Rattus norvegicus: one gene and its partners. The protein of the gene in region 4 interacts with the protein of the main gene of each other region in a biochemical or structural test. Links are inferred from orthologs where the notes say so. Each region holds a gene or a part of one and is shown on either strand. Other genes may lie near its edges.

Region 1 (3,973 bases), on a different chromosome or scaffold from region 4:
CACTGCCACAATCCGACTTTCCTTTATAAAATCCCAGTACCGAGAAGGGGAACTAGGCACAAAGTCTCACTCCAACCAAGAACTTATTTGCAACCGAGAGTTGCTGAGAGAGGAGAATTCGGGTTTCACTGAGTATATCAACCACAGTCTAGGGCAGGCCCCAGGCCCAAGAGTGGCCAGCCAATACAAAATATACTCCATGTTTTTGTTGTCGTGTGGGTGTGTGGGGGTGTGTTTAAGAGGAAGAAAGAACAGGAACTCGAATGAGTGAGAAGTAGGGAGGAGCTGGGAGGAGTTGGGTGGAAGGAAAGAACATGATCACTCTATTATAAAATTAAAATAAAATTTAATTTAAAAAAATTAAGTTCTTATTTTAGCAATTACATAAGACATGGCATTTATGGCAACCAAGGATGAGACAAAATCCGTGGCTTTTATAATCATTTTAGAGAATGAAGTGGTGAAGCACTTAATAAATGTGTGGTTAGTTTCTTGTAGTATGTTACAGTCTAATACTTTCTGCTATGGGGTAAGACAGAAGTAAGATGACAGAATGCGTCACCTCTGTGACGTCTTCTCACGTGGACATCTTAAAGCATCACTGAACACGTACTAATGCTGTATCATGGACACATACACTGGCAAAGTTAACAGGACAAGAGAGAGAGGAAGAGTTCAAAGCCGGGTGATGTATCAATAACAAATCTGAAAAAGGATCCTCAGATTCTCGCTTGTGACCTTGATCTTGGGATCCTGCTGCCTCTGCCTTAAGGTGCTGGGGATTTGCAGGTTTGCTGGTCATAGCAGCTCCATTCCCAGTTCTCAGTCCTGTCCTTATGGTGGACTGCATGCCTCTTTCTATAGGGTCTCTGTGTTCTTTATCTCCCATGTTAAGTAACATACGACAAAACAGAGTTTGATAACCATAATACAAGTTTAAACACTGACTGAATAGAATTGACTTGTTTCAATAAAGATTCTAGTACAATTTCTCAGACAGATTGAGAAAAGGCGTTAGTAAGTTCTAGAGGCAAGAGAGCCTACATACTTTTTCACACTTCTATTTTTCTACATCTATTTTAGTCCTTAATCTTCACTGTAACGCAGCTATTTTAGTAAACATATTATTGAACACCAGTAAAAATAATCAAACCATAACTAGGAATGCAGCACAGCGTCTTACAATATTTACTTTTACTTGGCAACAGAATCTTCTATATTGCACAAGGTACTAAATTTATGGTAAGCTCACAAAGTATTATAGTACACTTGACGGTTAAGTGTAACAAAAATTGCTACGCAAAAGGTTAGATTTAAATATTAAGAACTAGAAAACCCAAACTCTTTAGAAATCTAACTCCTACATTCCATTATCAAGCTGTGGAATATGGTGGCGTACACCTTTAACTCAGCATTTGAAAGATAGAGGCAGGTGGATCTCTGTGAGTTCGAGGACAACTTGGTTTACAGAGCATGCTCCAAAACAGCTGAGACCACACAATAAGTTCTTGTTTCAAAACAAACAAGCAAACAATCCCCCCAAAACAAAAACGATACAACACCAACCAACCAAAGTTGCTAATTTCTGACATCACTAGTTTTGATTTACTTGAAACGAGAATGATAAATTCCAAGCAGGATTTGTGACTAACGTTAAATGACGCACTGTCGGTAGACGCTAAATTCCAACCACTGACATTAATGTATCTTATTCCTAAAAGGCTTACCTGCGCATTGGCTTTCCTTCCATGCACCATGAAAAGTATCCTTCACCGTATTCTAAAGCCGTACCTTCAACAAGAGAAAAGTAGTAGCTTACTAAAAACTGTTCGAATTCTCCAGCAACTTATATAAATTGTTTCACTCATTTCGTCTGTAATCAAGAATCTCACATCCTAATATAATTTTTGCATGGATGCACAATCATAATGTAATGCCTTTAAGATGGCTATCGCTAACTAAAGATGCTAAGGTGATAGATTATATGTGAATGTGAGGGTAAGTGGAAAAGCAGTCAGGATCATAGTAGTCATGATCGCTAGTCGGTGTTGTCTGTTCAAGATGCACTTGGAGTTTTTTTGGTTTTTTTTTTTTTTTTTTTTTTTTTTTGTTTAACTTCACCATCAAGTATATTTGCAGAGTAATCACTTCTCACCCACAGCAGTACTAATTTAATGACTCGGATAGGAAACGCATTGTTTTAGCACTGGATCTGAAGGTTGTTAACTGATTCTGAAGTGACAGCCAGGCCAAGGCATTTGCCTTTAAAAACAACTCCACTTCCGACTAGCCCGGGCAGCTTGAACAAGGGCGGGGAAAGTACTTCTAGACTACAACTCTCACAAGCTCTCGTCTTAGTCGCAGAAATACTGTTCACCATCAGGATCCTACTGGCTTCCAAAGGTAAAATGGGAGGCTTAGTGCTCGCTCCCTTGGAATTCCAAGTGAAGCTGTCCAGGATGTGGAGCCCTAGCGTCCCCAGAAAGCATGGCACAGGCTTCCCCTGGCTTCAAGACACCTTGACGGACGGCAGTAGCGCAGTCTGGAGCCCTGCAAGGCCCGACCAAGGAGCCCCACAGTCCCTCTGAGGCGCTCACTGACAGGCAATCTAGAAAGCACTGACCCCACTGGGCAGTTCGGCAAGTTGAGATCATAGATCTGCAAAGCGAGACCTGGGACTCTGTTCTCCATCCCCTGCTCTAAGGCTCTCACTTACTGGCTTTGACACTTTTTTCTCTGCGGCACCCTTCTCTGCCTTCTCCACCCTCTCTGCCTCCACCTCAGGAGCCGATAGCGCAGGCAGGATGCGGCTCCCGCAGCTATTTCCTTTCCCTATACCCGCCCCCCACCCCCCCATCCAGAAGCAGGAAGTGGTCCTATCACTAAATCCTTCCCATGGAACTGCACACGTTCCGGCAAGTGGTTCCGGTGTGGCTCCGGAAGTAGCTGCTCCTTTCGCTGAGCGTTTCCCAGGACTAGTAGTACTATTAGTCCAACTGATTTTTACAATATATTTAGAAAGCAAGCAAATTCTAGTTCTATGATAAACTTTGTCTTTTGGGCCAGTTTTTTTCTGCATATGTACCTGTGATATATAAGTAATATGTATACTAGTAACAGCAATGGATATTCCATTTATTATCAAATACTTAATATATAACATTGTGTATTAGTTTTTCAGTTCTAACGTCTCTCCTATTGAAGAAGGATTTATTACCATTTTTCCAAGTGGTGGTACCAAAGCATTATATTTCAGATAGTACCATTCCAGTTGGTACCAAAGCATTATGTAACCTGCAAAAGGGCAAAGGGCATAGCATGTAAGGGTTAGAGCCACGACTTGATGCCACGTACAATGGTTCTAGAATCTGGCCACAATTATGTTGTGTCTTCCTCCAGAATGGTTCAAGGATTCTTGCTGGTCTATATTATTGGTACTTTCAACTTCAATATTTTTCCAATCTGATGGTTATAAAATGATTTAGATCCATTGAAATGGCATATTTTTTTTCCTTTTCTTTCTTTTTTTTTTCTTTTCTTTTTTTCGGAGCTGGGGACTGAACCCAGGGCCTTGCGTTTGCTAGGCAAGCGCTCTACCACTGAGCTAAATCCCCAACCCCCTGAAATGGCATCTTATACGTGCACCTCTCAGGTTTCTTTTGTGTGGATTGTCTAAAAGTCATCGTCAAAGCGACTCAGGTTCTTCCAAAATATGAGTTATGATTTTAATTCTTTATCACTATACATCTCAATAACAAGGGCGTTATAAAAACATTAAGGACTGGTAATGACTAAAGATGGGCTTTTAAGCCTATAACCAGGGTAAAAGTGATATTGCCTATTTTTATCAACCCATTGATTCATTCTTAACCTACTGTCTACTGTAATCTGGCTTGTGCTTCAACTACTCTGTTTCTTTTTTAAAGGGAGGAGTTTAATGTGAATCAGCTCTTCATAATTATGTCAAGATCTA
Region 2 (4,111 bases), on a different chromosome or scaffold from region 4:
TCTTATTTCAAAAGCCATCCTGTAAGGTCTAGAGAGACTGCCCAACACCTAAGAGGATCTGAGTTTCATTCCCCGCACTCAGTTGAGCAGCTCACGACCACCTATAACTCCAGTTCTATGGGATCCCAAGCCTTCATCTGATCTCTATGGCATCTATATGCACGTGCACATACCCACACATATATACACTTAAAAATAGTAAAAATAAGTTTTAAAGAATTGTCTGCTACATATACAAGTTCAATACTGTCTTAATTGTGTCAGGTCGTTTCCAGATCTTAAAACTCATCAAGAAATGTATATAAGAAATACTCAAGTTAATAAAAAATAATAATAATAAAAAAATTAAAAAAAAAAACTCATCAAGATGTTTACAATTGGGGGCTGGGGATTTAGCTCAGTGGTAGAAGCGCTTACCTAGGAAGCGCAAGGCCCTGGGTTCGATCCCCAGCTCCGGGAAAAAAAAAAAAAAACAAAAAACAAAACAAAAAAAAAAAAAAGATGTTTACAATTGGGTTATTAAAACACCCCTCCAATGACCATTCCAATTACTGATGGTTCATAGAATTCGATACACCACACACCAAAAAAAAAAAAAAAAAAAAATCTTAAAGCCCCCACTTTGGGAGTGATCACTAAGGAGAACTGGCAAAGGATGTGGCTGGTGGCTGGAAGTCCACAAACTCAGGAAGACATGTAATGGTCAAGAGAGAAGGACAGCTTGGCATCCAAAGGGCAAACAGCAGCCCCGTTTGCTTTACTTACATAAAAGTTAAGACATCACAGTTCCCCTTTGCTCACCTTTAGGGTTTCATTTCAGGTTCTGGCATGAGACTACTTCAACCTCAAATTCCACTAAGCTGCCATTCTTGATTTGCTTCCAAAAACAAAAAACAAAACCCTAATTCTTGGGCAAACCAAGTTGCCCAAGAAATATCAGTGCAGTTGTCTGTATTTTCTTCACAAGGGATGTATTTGTCTCTACTTAGTTTCCATACTTATGTAAGGATGTATATACTTCACCCTAGACTTCCATACACTGAATACACTCTAAATATTCCATGATAAACATTGCTTTAAAACGAATGTATGCAAGATGTTTCAAAACTAAGCATTCGTTCCGCAAGGCTACCAGATGCAGGGGAAAATTAACTCGGAGAAAGGCCAGGGCTTGGCCTGGGCTCGCCCTCTGCGGTGCCCAAGGAATCCAGGAATCTCCCGGAGAGAACGCATTGGGTCTCCGCGGCATAAAGCACGAGTTAGTCAAGCAAGGAGGTTCCAAGGGACGCGCTGCATTCTGGGACTCGTTTCCACAGTTACCCACGTGCACCCAATCCAACCGCGGCCCGGGCAGCTGAGACTACAAGTCCCAGAATTCCATGAGCCTGCCTTTCCCTTTACACCGGTTCCAGGAGCCAGACCCTAAAGGAAACCCCTAAAGGACCCTCCCGGTGCTTCGGGCGGAGGTAGCTTCTCGCACGCGCGTTGCTATGCCTCCAAAGCGGCCCTCCATACAGGTTAACAGGTCCTGACGCATCAGTCTCTACACCTGATAGTCAGAAATTAGGGAACTGCGTCACACACTGCCAAACCTACGGACCGCCGGGGACCCTGACACCTCTTACGCTAATTCCTCCACCCCGCCTCTAGGACCCCTGCAGGTCCGGTCAGCAAGCAGACAGCGGCCTCCGGGTCCTGTAATCCCAGCCCGCGTTGACCTCACTCCCGGTTGCTCGCTAAAAGTGGCAGCCACTGCCAGCCTCGGGACACCTCCCGAGTACCCGGCCCCGCCCCCTCTCCTCTGTGCACCCCGATGCTCAGGGTGGTCCCCTCCTAGGCTGGACCGGGCCTCTCCCGGGAGGAAGCACCTCCCCCAATGCACAGTTCAACGCTCCCCACCCCGCCCCAAGAGCACCGAACCCGAGGATGACAGCCCTCCCCATCCCGCTCCTCCCCACCTACTCTTCTTCCTAACTCACTCTGCACACCCTCCCCGACCCCTATCTCAGCCCACAAACTGCATCGCAGTCCTACCCACCATCCACTCCTCCAGGGACCCCCATCCCAACACCTGCCCCCAAGCCCTCTCGCCACTCCCGGCCGCCGTCCCGCACACCAGACTCCACAACTCTCCCATCCCACTGCAGTGTCTCCCACTCCGTGTCCGGGTTACATCAGCCCCCAACCCCTCACCCGCCCGGTCGCTGCCCCTGCTCCCCACCCATTGTTCCCGCCCCCGCCCCCAGCCCTCCTTCCTATTGTCCCCGCCCCCGCTCCTCTCGCACTCCCCCGCCTTCCCCGGTAGACTGCACAGCTCCGGCACCGCAAGCCTCACCCGGTACTCAGACCGTAGGGTCTCTCCCTGCCCGCTCGTACCACCCCTGACCCCATCTGCCAGCGCCCGCCGCGGTCTCCACCTCCGTGCACCACCGACTCCCGGCCCCCGGCCTTCAGAATATGTCCCCCCTCCCCCCACCGCGGAAAGCCAGCCAGTCCCCACCCCCTCCCCGCCGCCCCTGCCCCCGCCCCAGCCGCCCGCAGCGTCACGGCCCTCGGACTCCAGGAGGGGAACAGCTCGTTCCCGGGCCAGGGACTCCAGCGCGGTAGGAACCGGAGAAGTGGAGAAGGGAGCACGGGAGCGGACCGGGTGTGCGGGCCCGCGCCGGCCCGCTGGCTCTGTGCTACTCACTGACAGCTGCAGCATCCGAGTGCATTTTCGGGCAGCTCACACCCGCCTGCCGCCCGGGCTCCCGCGCTCCACTCGCGGTCCCCCTACCGACTCCCCAAACCTTAGCTCTCAACAGAGGACCGGCGGCTCCTACTCCGACCCGCCCATCCCGCCTTTCTCATTGGCTAGACCACCACCGAGGGACCGCCCCTCTTCGGCTCTCATTTGACCGAAGGAGTGCAGGTTGCGCCGCCTGCAGCAGGCAAAAGGACCCCGCCCCCTAGACTGCAACGTGATTGGCCCCGGCTCCTCACCTCGGACCGCCCCTGGTAGAGGCCACTATTCGGAGCCGCAGGTTGGACCCAACGGCTGTCAGTCATTCAAGGGTCCGAAAGCGCGTGGAGGGGCGAGACAGGGGACTTGGTCTATCTTGACCCTGAAGCCCCGCCCTGTGGCGGGCGGGTCCTGGAGCGGGAGACCAACAGAGAGACCAACGGAGAACCTAGGTTAAGCATCCGAAACAAAGCGGGCGGAGGGACCCGGAGCCAAGCTGGGGGCCACAGGGACCGGTGCTCCCTGGTAGGCGGTCGGCCAGATCCTGATCCTGCCCGTGCCCCGGTCGCGCCAGTTCTCATCAATCGTTTCCCATCGCGGGAAATTAGGAAAAAAAAAAAAAAAGCCTCCGCTTTCCTCCCTTTTATGCCACAACCTTTCTGTCCCCAACTTTGGAAATGCGCCTCCTTTTTTTAGAGTCAATTATTCAGAGTTGTGCATTGCTTGCGCCAAAGGTTTCGAATGCGCAGGCATTGTCCGTCCGACACTTCTATGCTCCCCAGACAGCGAGAGAAAAACCCAGTGCCACATTAGGCTCTGGGGTCAGTCAGCCTGTCACCAGGACAAGCTAGGTCCCCTGACTATACGTCTAAGAAACATAAGTTGAACCTGGCCAAACCGCTGTTTAACAGAGGAAAGCGTTAATAGGGTTGTGATTGTTAAGTGTCTTGAATCAAAATACTGCTTTTGTTGTTGTTTCTTTACGTTTTTCAGTACTTGAAAACCAATTCTCCTCAATCACTATGGTAATGCAATAACGCAAAGAGATGCTGGAGGACGGGCGCCCCGCCCCCACCGCGAACACACTCTCCACTTGGGAACCTCCAACAGCCCTTGCCCCAAGCACAGCCTGGACTGCCTATAGATTCTGCCACAGACATTGGATGATACGTCCAAAAATAACAAAGGGGTCCGGTCCAGCGTTAGTATTCTGAATTCTACCGCCTTGGCTCTTGAGTTGCAGAGTTCCGAAATCTGGACGGATGTTTGGACGGATGTTACAATAGCGAAGTAGCTGACAGTCCTTGTCATCTACATTACTGTGTTACTGGGATGTGTTCCATCCCATCACCCTCTATTTCTCTGTAATTAAGTTGAATCCCTGTAATG
Region 3 (3,951 bases), on a different chromosome or scaffold from region 4:
AATGTCAAGAGTTAAAAATAAATATTTAATTCCATCTTAAAATACTCAAGGAAGTCCTAATAGGAGCTAATAGAATCAAGCATTCAAGGAAAAAAAAAAATATATATATATATACATGCATAATGACCATCTTTATGGTGTCTAGTAACCTTTATAAAGTGAAATAAGATGAAACTTTCTGATTCTATATAATGCATTTTTAATAATGGGTCAACGTTTTAAATAGAGGTCAGCCAAAAAAAAAAATTTCTCTATATTTAATTTGGGTTAGTGGTTGTCTTGGGATACCAGTAATAGCATTTATTTCCCCTGATCTAGAAAGAATCTATTCTGCTACCAAACCATTTTTAAATTGTACAATTGGGATCACTGGTGTTCCCAATAGCAAAGTTGCTACCCCCTTTTCAAACTAGTCTAGCCTTGCATACAGTTAGCTTAACTTGACAAGTTAGGATGCCATCACTTAAAAGAGTAACATGGTTAGTATAATAACAAGGCAACGACTACTATGTGTTTTAGCTTTAAGCAAATACTTCTGAGAATAATAATGATAAAAGAAAAACAAAAACATAAAAGTAGGAAAGCAGGTAAGAGATTAGCTTTAGTATTAAGACTAGACCTGTTCTAAGGAAGAAAAGTTGTCAGATATGTTCATGGCACTAAATTCTGAGCCAATCCCTAACCCTTTAGCCTTGACCCTAATCCCAGTAAACATAACAGGTCAGGAACAAGGAATAAACCACAGCTTCTAAATGCAAATGATATGGTATCCTGTTAAATGAATTTCATTACCTGCATACTCATAAAACCAAGCCAGGCACTTCTTTCTTGAAAAATCTTCCTCTCCACTGATGAGTCTAGCAGGAGGCTGGGATCTGCAATAGCTTAGAAACACGTAAATGTCTAAGGCTTAATAAGACTCAACTTTAGTACAAAAGTAGCTTCAACAAGAATAGCTTCCATGTAAACAAAATAGTGGTTTATAAGTCAGCATTATGGGGAAAGGATTAGCAATAAGGACCTGCACTCAATGAAATCCAAATGCTACTTTGTTTGCTACCAGATTCCAAAAATAGTGCCTAAAATGATTTCCTTAGATTTCAAGATAATAAAGAAGTGCAGTCTAAGTCTCAACCCAAGACTAGACAAGAAAGTATAAACCTCTCTCCCTAAACTACTCATGTTGGGCTTGCTCTCTACCACTAAGCTATAGACCTTATCGAATGCCTGAAGACTTACTTCCATTTTGCCACTGATTTGTATGAAGATCTCTGTTAAAATTTAGGCTGAATCACTGGATACTGCCCAGCTAGCTGTTTTAACTGGTTTAAGTTAAACATCTTAGATATAGTTTTCCAAGAGCTAAGGTCAAGAGAAATGTTAACCACCAAAGGGCATAATGAAAACTGAATCTTATACATCACCCAAGAAATATCACCTAGACTCTTTTGCTAAAACACACTAAGGGCGGGAGAGGGGGGCACAAAGCAATTGATTACAAAAAGATTAGGATGAAACCAGTCACTTCTTTCATATTTTAAGCAGTGCATTCCTCACTGCATCTCTCCTTAAAGAGAAATCTTCTTTGTGTAGTGCTGGCTGTCTTGTTTTAATGGTAGTATTTTGTCACTTTATGTGTCAACCATTAATACAAAACAACCCATAGAGTATGGGAAGAAGCACACTTCTCAAAGTTAAATCGCAATAACTTTCAGAGCAATAATGATTCTGTGATGATTGAATGTATGCCATAAAGGGAGTGAATGGCTTTAACTTCAGTTTTGCTTTGTTTTCTTTTCCTCTAAGAGAACACAGAACACAATAGCTTGCAAACACCTAAAAGGGGACTGAGAGCTACTATCTACTTAATGCTACAAAACAAAAACCACAAGGGCCTTTTCCAACTCTGTGTAGGGAACTGGTACAGGTGGAGGCATGGTGCCTCTAGAAGCTGAGCCTCCAGCTATTTAAAAGGTCTCCTGCTGGGATCATCCACGTTAGGCCACTTCTAATACTAACTCAGGAGACCAATTATAGCATAGGCTTCCTTTCCACCATTCCCAAGGCAGCTGTCAAACTCTTCAAGCTCTGCTCCTTTCTTCACACCCTGATATTTAACAATGTGTGGGCCAAGCCAATTCTGCTTGTGAGACACAGGGACGCGATGAATCTTGGCAGATCCGCACTCACTTCTCGGTTGGGAAATTGGATGGAGAAGGCATACGTATGGTCGTCTGTTTCCTACCCTCTGGGCACGCAGACAACAAAGTGGGGTGAATCTCAGAGCTTGTCCAAGTACGCCAGAGCTCACGCACAGGCGAACACGAGGTTCGGTCCCGCGCGGAGCGGAGACTCTGGGCGCCTCACCGACCGCCTCGCCCGAGAGGGCTCGCCTCTCTCGTCTAGGCTAGCGGCTGGCGGCCTGTCCCGCAACGGGGAAAGGAGAGAGCTTGCGGGGTGGGGGCAGGCGGTACCTGGAGATTTTACACTTTTTGAGGCCCGCGTCTTCCGCGACCGCCGCTGCCACTCCGGGAGCTTTTCTCTTCTTCTTCACTGGCATCTTCCGCCTTCCCCGGCAAGGTGGACAGGGCGGCCGGGGAGGGGTATCGCGCTCCGCCGCAGGCCCCGCAGCGCCGGCTCCCGCCTGCCAGGGACCGCAGCGGAGGACCGAGGCGCGACCTCGCCTCGGGTTTCCTCTTTAGGGGCGATTCGGGGCAGCGCAGCGCTAAGCCCGGCGATAACGCGGCTCGGGCTTTTCCAGGGGAAGCGAACGCCGACAGCGCGGCACCTTCAGTAGTCGCGAAGAGCAGGCGGCTCAGCCTGACCCGGAAGCGGATGGCTCAGGACCGGAAGTGACGCAGCAAGGAAGCTTGCCGAGCCGGAGTGGTCTCCCTACCTATGGGCCTTTAGGATTTGCGTCTCTGCAGGTGGAGCCTCAGTCTCCCGAGTTTTTCGGGCGAGTTTCCAGAGGGAAGTCCTTTATAAAAATCATGAACGCTCCACAGCTGGCGAGCGAAGTAATCTGGTGAGGAGCCACGCGTGAATGTGCCCACTCCTGACCTACAGCGTCTCCAGCCCTTTGGGTGTTCTTGGTGGGCCTGAGATCAGTGTCTCACGCTCCTTGTCCTTTTCTCCCTCATGCTCAGTGTCAGTTTATGGCTTCCTCCTGTGCTGAGGCAACGCCTCCATGTTTTACTTCTGAGGAACTCTCCTCGTGGATAAGAGACTGGAAAACTGACTAACTTATACAAAGGGTTTGGGAAACCATTCTAATGGACCGCTCTCAAGAAACAGGAATCATGTTACTTCTAATGGAAATATTGTTTATAAGAAGGGTATGGTTCGGTCCCCAGCTCCGAAAAAAAGAAAAGAAAAAAAAAAAGAAAAAAAAAAAAAAAAAAAAAGAAGGGTATGGTATGTCTAGTTATCTCCTAGAAGATTCTTAGTGAATGAAGTTCATGTCTGTAAGCCAACTGTGCTACCATAGTAGGACCCTAATCTAGTCAGAGTTAAGGAGAAAGAGAAAAAACGGTTGTTGTAATGAGTTCTGGACATATAGTTAATATATTTTACCAATGAAAATAATTTTCAAACCTATACTCCATTCAACCCTATTATAAACACTGCACAAAGCATTGTTTTTATATGAAAATTACAAGATCTAAGCTCTAAAACAGAACTCCCTATAGAAGAAAGTAGACAACTGAAAGATGAAGATTTTTTTTTAAATATGTATTTATTATTGGGGCAATTGTGTACCAGTGCTGGGATGACAACTTGACAGTTCATTTTTCTCTATCTTGTGACTCTTGAGGTGGAATTCAGGTTGTTAGGCTTGGGAAGGGACATTATGTCTGTATACAGAAGCACCTAGTTATGTGATTTACTTTTTTCTGTTGCTCGTGATAGTTCTTGATTTTCACCAAGCTATATAATGAGAACCTATGACAG
Region 4 (4,121 bases):
CAACAAAAAGATGTATAATAAGCAATACTCTACATAATGAAGGGAAGTCTAAAAATTAAGAGATTAACTTTTTTCTGTCAACAATTAAAAATACAGAAATTAATTATTTTAAATAAATTTTGTAGATTTACTTAAATTGAGGGGGCAGGAAAAAAACTGTATTAATTCTAAGTTAATACGGTGTAACTTTTACTCTGCTTAATAATGTGACAGCAAGCTTAAAATATCCACTAAAAATGTAAGGAAAAAAAGTAAAGACCCTGATTTATATGGTAACTTTTATCAAAAGTACTCATCTATTTATGAAATATATCCTGTAAGTTAACTTACCACTGTTGTACAGTGAAAACCAACAAGTCTAAACTTATTTCATTCCTTTTACACATCCATTTTGTAAAAAACCTGAAATGAGCAACTGAAACTTGATTAGTTTACAGTCTGCCATAAACTATGGGTAACAACATATTCACATGGTACAACATATACCAGTTGTAAGAACATATATGTATAAGCAAATAATGGTATGTATTTCTGTGTGTGAAATACCACATACTTACAACTTCTAAGAGTCCATGTGGGCTGTACTTACTATATACAAGACATCTAATCTGAATGAAAGAAATCCTGACAGCCTAAGGATGCACTTCCCAGAACTCAATGAAGTATCACTGGGGCATTATCTAGCCTCAACCATGGCTGATTATTTTCAACGGGAACAACCTATGGTTATTTACTTACGAACTAGAAAACAAACAAAAAACAAAACAAAATCTCAGTTTCAATACTAGCTTATCACACACTATTACCATCTTCAGCTAATGATACAAAATTCTCTTCCTGCTTCTAATCCCCAATGCTAGCTCCAGAAAACACTGATCTTTTCCTTTTTCACATCTACTGCTAAGTCCTAAAGCTCTAGGAATAAATAGTACTGCATACAGTACTCAGTATATCTTGGACCAATGATGATTTCTCTACAGGTTCAAGTAGAGAAATCTAGAGATCAAAGAGTTGCAAACACAGATAAAGGTAGAACTGGTTACTCTGAAAAATATTAACTGGCCAAATATAAGCTCTTTCACTTTTTACCCAACAACAAAGACTCCAAGAAACAACAGAACCAAGAGCAAACATTTCCTAGAAAAATCAGTGTCACTGTTGACTTAAAAAAAAAAAAGGCAAAAAACAAGACAAAACAAAATCCCAACTAAGTCTGAATTCTGCTATAAAAAAAAAAAAAAAGAGGGAAGGATTCGGATTTGACAATCACTTGGGTGGTTGATTCAGTAGGGAAATTAAGCTCATAAACCTGGCTCACTGTCCAATTACAAAGGAAAACATAATAGTTACCTTTATTAGCGCTGTTTTTCCGGCATTTCTCACTTTCTGATGTAATCTCTTATTTAGAAAAATCACTCATAATGCAACTAATATCAAAATACCTCATTCACCCAATTATGCCCTACATGTTTACATAGAGCCCATTTATTTACATTAAGGTGCAAGTTTCTACACGCTGACACTATGTCCCTTGCAAAGCCACAATTTTGCATCGGTTGTAACTTCTTTGGTATGAGGAATTCAGAGGCCCTCAAGTTCTCCAGGTCAAAGTTACTTAACTCGTGGTCTTTCCTTTCCTCACAGCAAAGGGTACTTCAGGAAAAGCCTGCTCAAAAAGTGATGACAAAGGCCCCCTTTCCCTCCCACAGGACAGAATGCTTATGAGCCTTTGATGGGGAAAACAACTTCCTCCAGTTTTACTTTTAAAAATCTGCTCCACTGCTGGTTTGTCTATTTGACTTTTACCTGTTACTGTAGCGACATGAGCAAGTACGTCCAGTTTGTTACAACAGGACGTTTTAATTGCCTGCCACTGGCTATCTGATCGAGGCAAGACATCCAAAGTTACATACACTCCATCTACTAAACACCGCAAGCCTATGACTCAACGTAACGCCAAGACGAAAAGTTTCTGAAGAGAAAACGTTTGCTGTCGCTAAAGACGTACAAGGTAAAACAAGTCTGAGTGGCAACTATTCTTGGGGACTTCCTTGGCTAAGACACGGAAAAGCAAGAGCTCCTTCTGTGCCTGGCCCTTCAAAGAGTGGAGGGACGATTCTGAACCCGAGTGGGTCAAGTCCTTAGGAGGCTTGCAGGATCAAAGATGCTATAAATACTATGCTCGCTGCTAGTAGTGTTTTGCCAGTGGGTATTTCGTGGCATCTCTGTCAGTGAGTGGGGCAGTCGGATGGCAAGACCGCTCCTGACTAAGGAGTCGGGCGGAGGTGGACGATCCTTCCCCACCACCGTAAAAGCCAAGCCGGGTCCTTCTGGAAACCGCACGCTAAAAGTTACACACACGCCCCACGCGAGGGGTGCGGCGGCGGCAGCGCGCATCCCCTCAGGGCCGCGGCACCGAGGCCGGCGCGAAGGAGGCCCCGAGGCGGCCGGGGCGCGGGGAACGGCCCGGGAGGTAGCCGCGCCGGCCCCGCGCCGCCCCGTTGCCGGGAAGGCTCGCGCCCCGCCACCGGCGGCGGCCGTGGGGGAGGGGAGGCCGGCTGCGGCCTGTTGGCGGAGTTCAGCCCCGGCCTCGCGTGCGGCTCCCGGCCGCGGCTCCGGATCCCGGGCGCCGAGGACCGACTCACCGGAAAGGCCCGGATCCGCATCTTGGTGTCCTTCCGGCTGCCCGTGCCTTTGCTCAGATTCGACATGGTGCTCGGCCCCTCCCCGGCGGCGGCGGCGGCGGCTGCGGCTCGCACTCCGAGGCGCCGGTGTCACATTGAAGGCGGGAGGGCGGCCGCGGGGCTCGGCGGGGGGCGGCGGCGCGGCCCCCGGGCTGGGCTGGGCGGCGGGCCGGCCCCTGGGCGGCCGCGGCGGCGGGGGCGGCGGCTCGGGCTCGGGCGGCTCGGGCTCGGCCGGGGGCTGCGCTGGCGCGGCGGCTCCGCGGGCTTCCCCTCGCGCCGGGCTCGGCTCCCTTTATCGCGCTCCTCCGCGATGGCGGCGGCGGCGGCGACGGACAAACATCTCACTGCGCAGGCCGAACGTCCTCCTCCTCCTCCTTCTCCTCCTCCGCCTCAGCGAGACGAGATCCGGCCCAGAGGGTGGAGGGGGGAGGAGGGAGGGAGGAGAGCGGAGAGTGGAGAGATGGGGGGAGGGGGCGGGAGGACGGGAGGGGAGGCGGGAGGCCGCGGCGGGCACGTCCGATCTCGCGAGATCAGGGCGGGCGCAAGGCCGGGGGCGGGGCGGGGCGAAGCCCGGGAAGGGAGGGCGCGGGGAGAAGTAGGGGGGGTGGGGGGAGTTAGGAATGGGCGTAGTCAGCGCCCTGGGGGCGGGGCCTGGGGCAGGAGGCGTAGGCTGCGTTTTCAAAAGAGGAGCGTCGGAGACCCTGGTAGGCGGAGGTGGCTTCTGATTGGTGGAGCGCGAAGGTGAGGTGTCACGTGGGCAGTGGGCGGGGGAAGTTCCGAATGGGAAGTGGGGAGTGCTCTGTTGTGGGCTGGCGGGGCTGAGCTTGGCCCGAGCGGATTGCAGGTAGTCAGGGGAAAGGGTGTGGGGTGCGAGTAGGAAGGCTCCTATGTCCTAGAACTGTTCCTGTGTTTTTCTAGGGCACGTGGCCTAGGGATGGGTACTTGATCCCCGCCAGAAACCTGAAAGCAGTGTTTGTGCCTGAGTTACCTGCAGTCTATGAAACCAGTGTCCTGTATTTAGCTAGGTGTTGCAACGCCTCAGTATTGAGTCAACCCGGCTTTCTTACACTGCGCAAGCTCCGGGGCTTGTTGATTAGTTGGTACTTTCTGGAGAATCCAGAGCCCACTAATGTTAAAACCCGGTTTTTGTTTGAATTGAAATAAAACAAGTGCCTGATGTACCACAATATTTGTGTTAAACATATGACCATTTCCAAGAGCAGTATATATCATTAAAACCAAAATCACCGTGGCATTAAGCTTGCTGTAGGTTTGGAGACATTTTTTATTTGTTCGGGACCTCTTTTATCATCCTATAGTCGAAATGTCCAATTCTACTGCCTTTTGCTTCTAATTCAGAATGAATCCTACTTCTGATTTACCTACTTGCTCAATTGCTGTTTCCAACGACGCTGGGAAATCTGAGATTCTCCCAAA
Region 5 (3,955 bases), on a different chromosome or scaffold from region 4:
GGCACTGTTGGGAAAGGTGGCCTTGTTGGAAAAGGTGTGGCCTTGTGGGCATGGGCTTTAATACCCTTGTCCTAGCTGCCTGGGAAGCCAGTATTCTGTTAGCAGCTTTCAGATAAAGAGCTAGAACTCTCAGCTCCTCCTGCCCCAGGCCTGCCTGGACTCTGCCATGCTCCCTCCTTGATGATAATGAACTGAACCTCTGAACCTGTAAGCCAGCTCCAATTAAATGTCCTTGTAAGATTGCCTTGGTTATGGTGTCTGTTCACAGCAGTAAACCGGAACTAAGACACACTGCCACACCACTTCTTCCTGAGCTCCGTCTCTCCAGATACTCCCCCACCCCATCTGAGGCTATGAGAGTACCAGAGCTCTGAGGAGCTGGAACCGGTAGGCAGGTATTGGCTATGCTGCAGTTGGAGTATGAACCTCCCAGAGGGACCTGCTCCTGACAGGCCCCGCCCTCGTGATCTGCTCCCCTTGGACTGCAAGGCAGCTATCAGTAGGCTACAGTAAGCTCTGAGCATGATGTCCTTTGGGGAGCCTTCGGATCACCGTACTCCACTGGGGTCAGCCAGAGAAGACCATTGCCTAGAGCAAGGGCTGTGTAAACACCTACAGGTACACAGGACCCATCTCTTCTGAATGTGGGTCATGATGTGTTTTTTTTTGTTTTGTTTTGTTTTTTTGTAGACACCAAGAGACTCAAAGAAAACTGACATATCTGAGCCAGCCTGACTTGATCCAGAGCTCAGTCAAGTCTGAGGAGAGCTGGTGGTTTGGGGATGAATGCAGTCCCTGCTCTGACCCATTCGCCACTCTGCTTCCACAACAGCTGGGCCCGGCTATGAGTCTTCAGAGGTCTGGGAAAAGCCAAACTTTTACTAGGAATAGCACCCCACCTCCCCAACAAGCCACTGGGCCGTAGAGGCTGCCAGCTTCTAGAATCACAAATTTCACCTACTGGCTGATGGCAAGCCCCTGCTTGGGAGACACAGAATAAGGCAGAGAAAGGAGACATAACTCTTCCTGTGGCGTCACAGGCCACACCTGGCTTGCCAGAAGGCCAAGGAGAGGGGTCATTCATTCCCAAAGGCATCAGATGTTTTGGGACCTTGCTGGTTCCTTTTGACCACTTCCTGTTTCCACATCATTTTCCCAGTGACCACTGGGATCTGTCAGTGTGGCAGAGACCTGGAGAATGGGACTCCACTCTAGGACAGGCAGAAAATAATGGAGAAACATAGATGCTGTCCTGGCTACAAGTGGAGTTTTAGGCCTCCCCTGAAGGCTCTGGTAGGCTGTAGAGAGACCCAGACCAGTGCAATGGACCAACTCACCCTCCTCAGCCATGTCCTTGTCCAGCACCAATTTGCCATGCCTGAGGAAGTTCAATATGGGCCCGAAGTAGGTGGGGTCACGGTCAATGAGGTAGGCCCCGGTCTCATCCTGTGGAGGAGAGGACCACAGGCACTGAGAGGTGTGCAAGCTTCCCCAAATCAGCGCCCCCTCCCCCATATAAGCTCAAGTCACTACAGATTGGAAAATGACTATAGAAGAGAGGAAGCGGAGAGAGATAGAGCAGTAAGGATCTGGGTGCAAACTCTACCTCTGCCTTTTCTGGGCTGTGTGACCTTGAGCCAATCATCTGGTCTCTGGAGCATCTACCCTCCCTTATCCCGCCCCCCCACCCTGTTATCAGAGGATTAGATGTGAGCATAGAGGGTGACCAGATTTCTGAGTGACCCCCACCTCACTCAGCACAGGACCCAGTGAATTTCCCTCTTAGGAAAGTTTCCCTCTTGGAGGCTGTTCCCCCCAGGCAACCCTACTATCCACTAGATGTTTGCAAGTGTCCAAAAAAGCTACACTCTGATTGGACACTTGCAGCCTGCAGGGACTGGCATCTGTACAACCTAGCACAGAAGACTGAGACATCAAGAAGCAGGGGACTCACCCAAGGACACAGTGTAAGAGGGCCACAGAATGGGGGACAGGGAACTTTGACAAGCTAACTCCAGAGGCCTTGCACATGAGGAGGCCAAAGTCAGAGCAGGGAAGTTCCCTTCTCTTCCCAGGTCACTCCTCCTCCCAGCAGGGTGAGCCCACAAGTGGAATCTCAAAGCCAGTGCTCTTCCCCACATTAAGCTCAGCTCCAAGACACCTAGGCCTTCTCCACCCAGTTCCTTGCACTCTTCAGCTGCCCACACCCCAAGGGCGGGGAGAAGCAGCCGCATCAACTTCTTTAAGAGTCAGCCAGGGCAGTAAGGCAGGCCCGCTTTGTCGGTCCCTCCCCAGCGCTCCTTAGTAAGGAAGCGTCCGGGATCCAGGGCAGCGCTCCACAGCTCCAAATGGCTGCGGCCTGTGCTGTCCCGTTGCCACGGCAATGGGCATAGCTATTCCTCTAGGCTCCGTTTCCTCCCCCTCCTCCTGCCTCGGCTCCCCGCCTCAGAATCCTAGGAAAGCCAGAGGCCGAGGGACGCGCAAGCGGGACAGAAGGGAGAGCGGGGCCAGGTCACCTCCCGTCAGCGGGCTCAAGGCTCACCCTGTCCGATTGCAGCTCTTCGCCTTGGCACAGGCGGCTGAGGAAGGACTTCTGCTCCCGGCACAGCGTCTGGCGGGTGGTCAGGAACACCGTGCCCCCCACATTCAGCCGCACCCACTTGCCCCAGCCGCCCCCAGAGCGGCCGCCCGCCCCCACCGGTGGCGCTGCCTCCCCGGCCTCCATCCTCATCGCCGGCCGCGGTGTCTGCATCCTTCCCTCCGCACGCAGCGGGCGGGTACCAGGTGTGGGGCATGCCGGGAGCTGTAGTCTGGAGCCAGGGCTGGGATGCTCTGCGCTTGTCCTGGTGCTGCTCCGACAGCATGTCCCGCCCCACATTACCTTTCTTGGCGATCTATCACTTGGTATCTCCTTGTGGCCAAACTGCTTGGTTTGCAGAAGTCTGGGGCCCTGGAAAAACAGTGATTCCCTCAATTGGCTATTCCCCCCAATTGTTCTCCGTGGTGGTGGTGGTGGTGGTGGGGCAGCTGAGGAATACCTGTCCTGAGAAGAACTTTCTTCCTCCAGAGATTCCTATATTTACCTGAACCTACTTTTAAAAATAGGCACACGTGCCTGTGTGTGAATGAGCATGTGCGTGTGTGCATACCCATGCATGCGCATGTGCGTGTGTTTTACTGGAGTTGGAAACCTGGGCCTCTGGTATGCTAAACTACTGAGCCAAAGCAGCAGTGTTTCTTTTTGTCCTGTGTGTGGTAAAGATCACAGGGATGAAGTCTTTACCTCCTCCTAAATTCTCTGAGGACATGTAGTTGGTTGCTGGCTGTGTGGCAGAAGCTGTGTGAACATACATATTACCCCTTTAAGCTTCCCGAAGCCCTGCTGGATTGGTATCACAAACACAATGGCACAGATGTGGTCACAGAAGTAAAGGGACTGTGTGGTGGATTCCATACTAGAGTCCAGTCCGTTTCCTGTGCGTTTCCCAGGGTTGTTAAGGATCAGGCCAGAGCTCCCACAGTAAGCTCAGTCCTCCTCCACCCAGCCCCCTGCACCTTCCAGTTGCCCACACCCAAGAGCAAGCAGACGCAGACATATCAACTCCTTCCCAATGCTGGAGTCAGTCTGGACGGCAAGGCTTAGGGGGATGAGGGATTGTAAAGACAACCCTGGCTTATAGGGCTTGTTGGGCAGGTCCCGATGGTCCCTGGTCTGCAAGGACGGACAGAGGGGAGGGGTAGATCAAGACAAGAACAAAGTCCAGAGGGGCAGAAGCCAGAGTGCTGTGGACACCAGTCTTGGTGATGAGGAGTCCGCTTAAGGCGTGAACATCCAGAAGGTTAAGTTTAGGTACTGGTTGCCCTGGTGCCACTTGGCTCCCATATATGCTAGAACTGAAGTTTGGGGGTGAGACAACTGGCTGGCACGGGTCTGCTCTGCAAGATGGGAGAAGGG

Evidence for each region. The genes of interacting proteins can lie anywhere in the genome.
Region 1: the proteins of Cul3 (region 4) and Klhl20 form a complex in vitro, tested with the Homo sapiens proteins (2 studies listed by BioGRID and IntAct). The link is inferred for Rattus norvegicus from reciprocal best matches to the Homo sapiens genes CUL3 and KLHL20.
Region 2: the proteins of Cul3 (region 4) and Dcun1d4 form a complex in vitro, tested with the Homo sapiens proteins (2 studies listed by BioGRID, with this or other methods). The link is inferred for Rattus norvegicus from reciprocal best matches to the Homo sapiens genes CUL3 and DCUN1D4.
Region 3: the proteins of Cul3 (region 4) and Dcun1d5 form a complex in vitro, tested with the Homo sapiens proteins (2 studies listed by BioGRID, with this or other methods). The link is inferred for Rattus norvegicus from reciprocal best matches to the Homo sapiens genes CUL3 and DCUN1D5.
Region 5: the proteins of Cul3 (region 4) and Kctd17 form a complex in vitro, tested with the Homo sapiens proteins (3 studies listed by BioGRID). The link is inferred for Rattus norvegicus from reciprocal best matches to the Homo sapiens genes CUL3 and KCTD17.

Annotation. Positions count from the first base shown.
Region 1 is NC_086031.1:75,938,841-75,942,813, forward strand, and holds the start of Klhl20 (kelch-like protein 20), read right to left. Parts: upstream 2,801-3,973; 5' UTR 2,717-2,800; exon of another isoform or gene 2,655-2,716; coding exon of another isoform or gene 2,624-2,654; intron 1,792-2,623; coding exon of another isoform or gene 1,751-1,791; coding exon 1,728-1,750; intron 1-1,727. UniProt on the Homo sapiens protein: Substrate-specific adapter of a BCR (BTB-CUL3-RBX1) E3 ubiquitin-protein ligase complex involved in interferon response and anterograde Golgi to endosome transport.
Region 2 is NC_086032.1:35,074,490-35,078,600, forward strand, and holds the start of Dcun1d4 (DCN1-like protein 4), read right to left. Parts: upstream 2,801-4,111; 5' UTR 2,715-2,800; coding exon 2,690-2,714; intron 1,847-2,689; exon of another isoform or gene 802-1,846; intron 1-801. UniProt on the Homo sapiens protein: Contributes to the neddylation of all cullins by transferring NEDD8 from N-terminally acetylated NEDD8-conjugating E2s enzyme to different cullin C-terminal domain-RBX complexes which are necessary for the activation of cullin-RING E3 ubiquitin ligases (CRLs).
Region 3 is NC_086026.1:12,696,009-12,699,959, reverse strand, and holds the start of Dcun1d5 (DCN1-like protein 5), read right to left. Parts: upstream 2,801-3,951; 5' UTR 2,561-2,800; coding exon 2,475-2,560; intron 885-2,474; coding exon 793-884; intron 1-792. UniProt on the Homo sapiens protein: Contributes to the neddylation of all cullins by transferring NEDD8 from N-terminally acetylated NEDD8-conjugating E2s enzyme to different cullin C-terminal domain-RBX complexes which is necessary for the activation of cullin-RING E3 ubiquitin ligases (CRLs).
Region 4 is NC_086027.1:89,115,628-89,119,748, forward strand, and holds the start of Cul3 (cullin-3), read right to left. Parts: upstream 2,801-4,121; 5' UTR 2,712-2,800; coding exon 2,646-2,711; intron 2,636-2,645; exon of another isoform or gene 1,351-2,635; intron 1-1,350. UniProt on the Homo sapiens protein: Core component of multiple cullin-RING-based BCR (BTB-CUL3-RBX1) E3 ubiquitin-protein ligase complexes which mediate the ubiquitination and subsequent proteasomal degradation of target proteins.
Region 5 is NC_086025.1:111,858,401-111,862,355, reverse strand, and holds the start of Kctd17 (BTB/POZ domain-containing protein KCTD17), read right to left. Parts: upstream 2,801-3,955; 5' UTR 2,753-2,800; coding exon 2,543-2,752; intron 1,447-2,542; coding exon 1,338-1,446; intron 1-1,337. UniProt on the Homo sapiens protein: Substrate-adapter for CUL3-RING ubiquitin ligase complexes which mediates the ubiquitination and subsequent proteasomal degradation of TCHP, a protein involved in ciliogenesis down-regulation.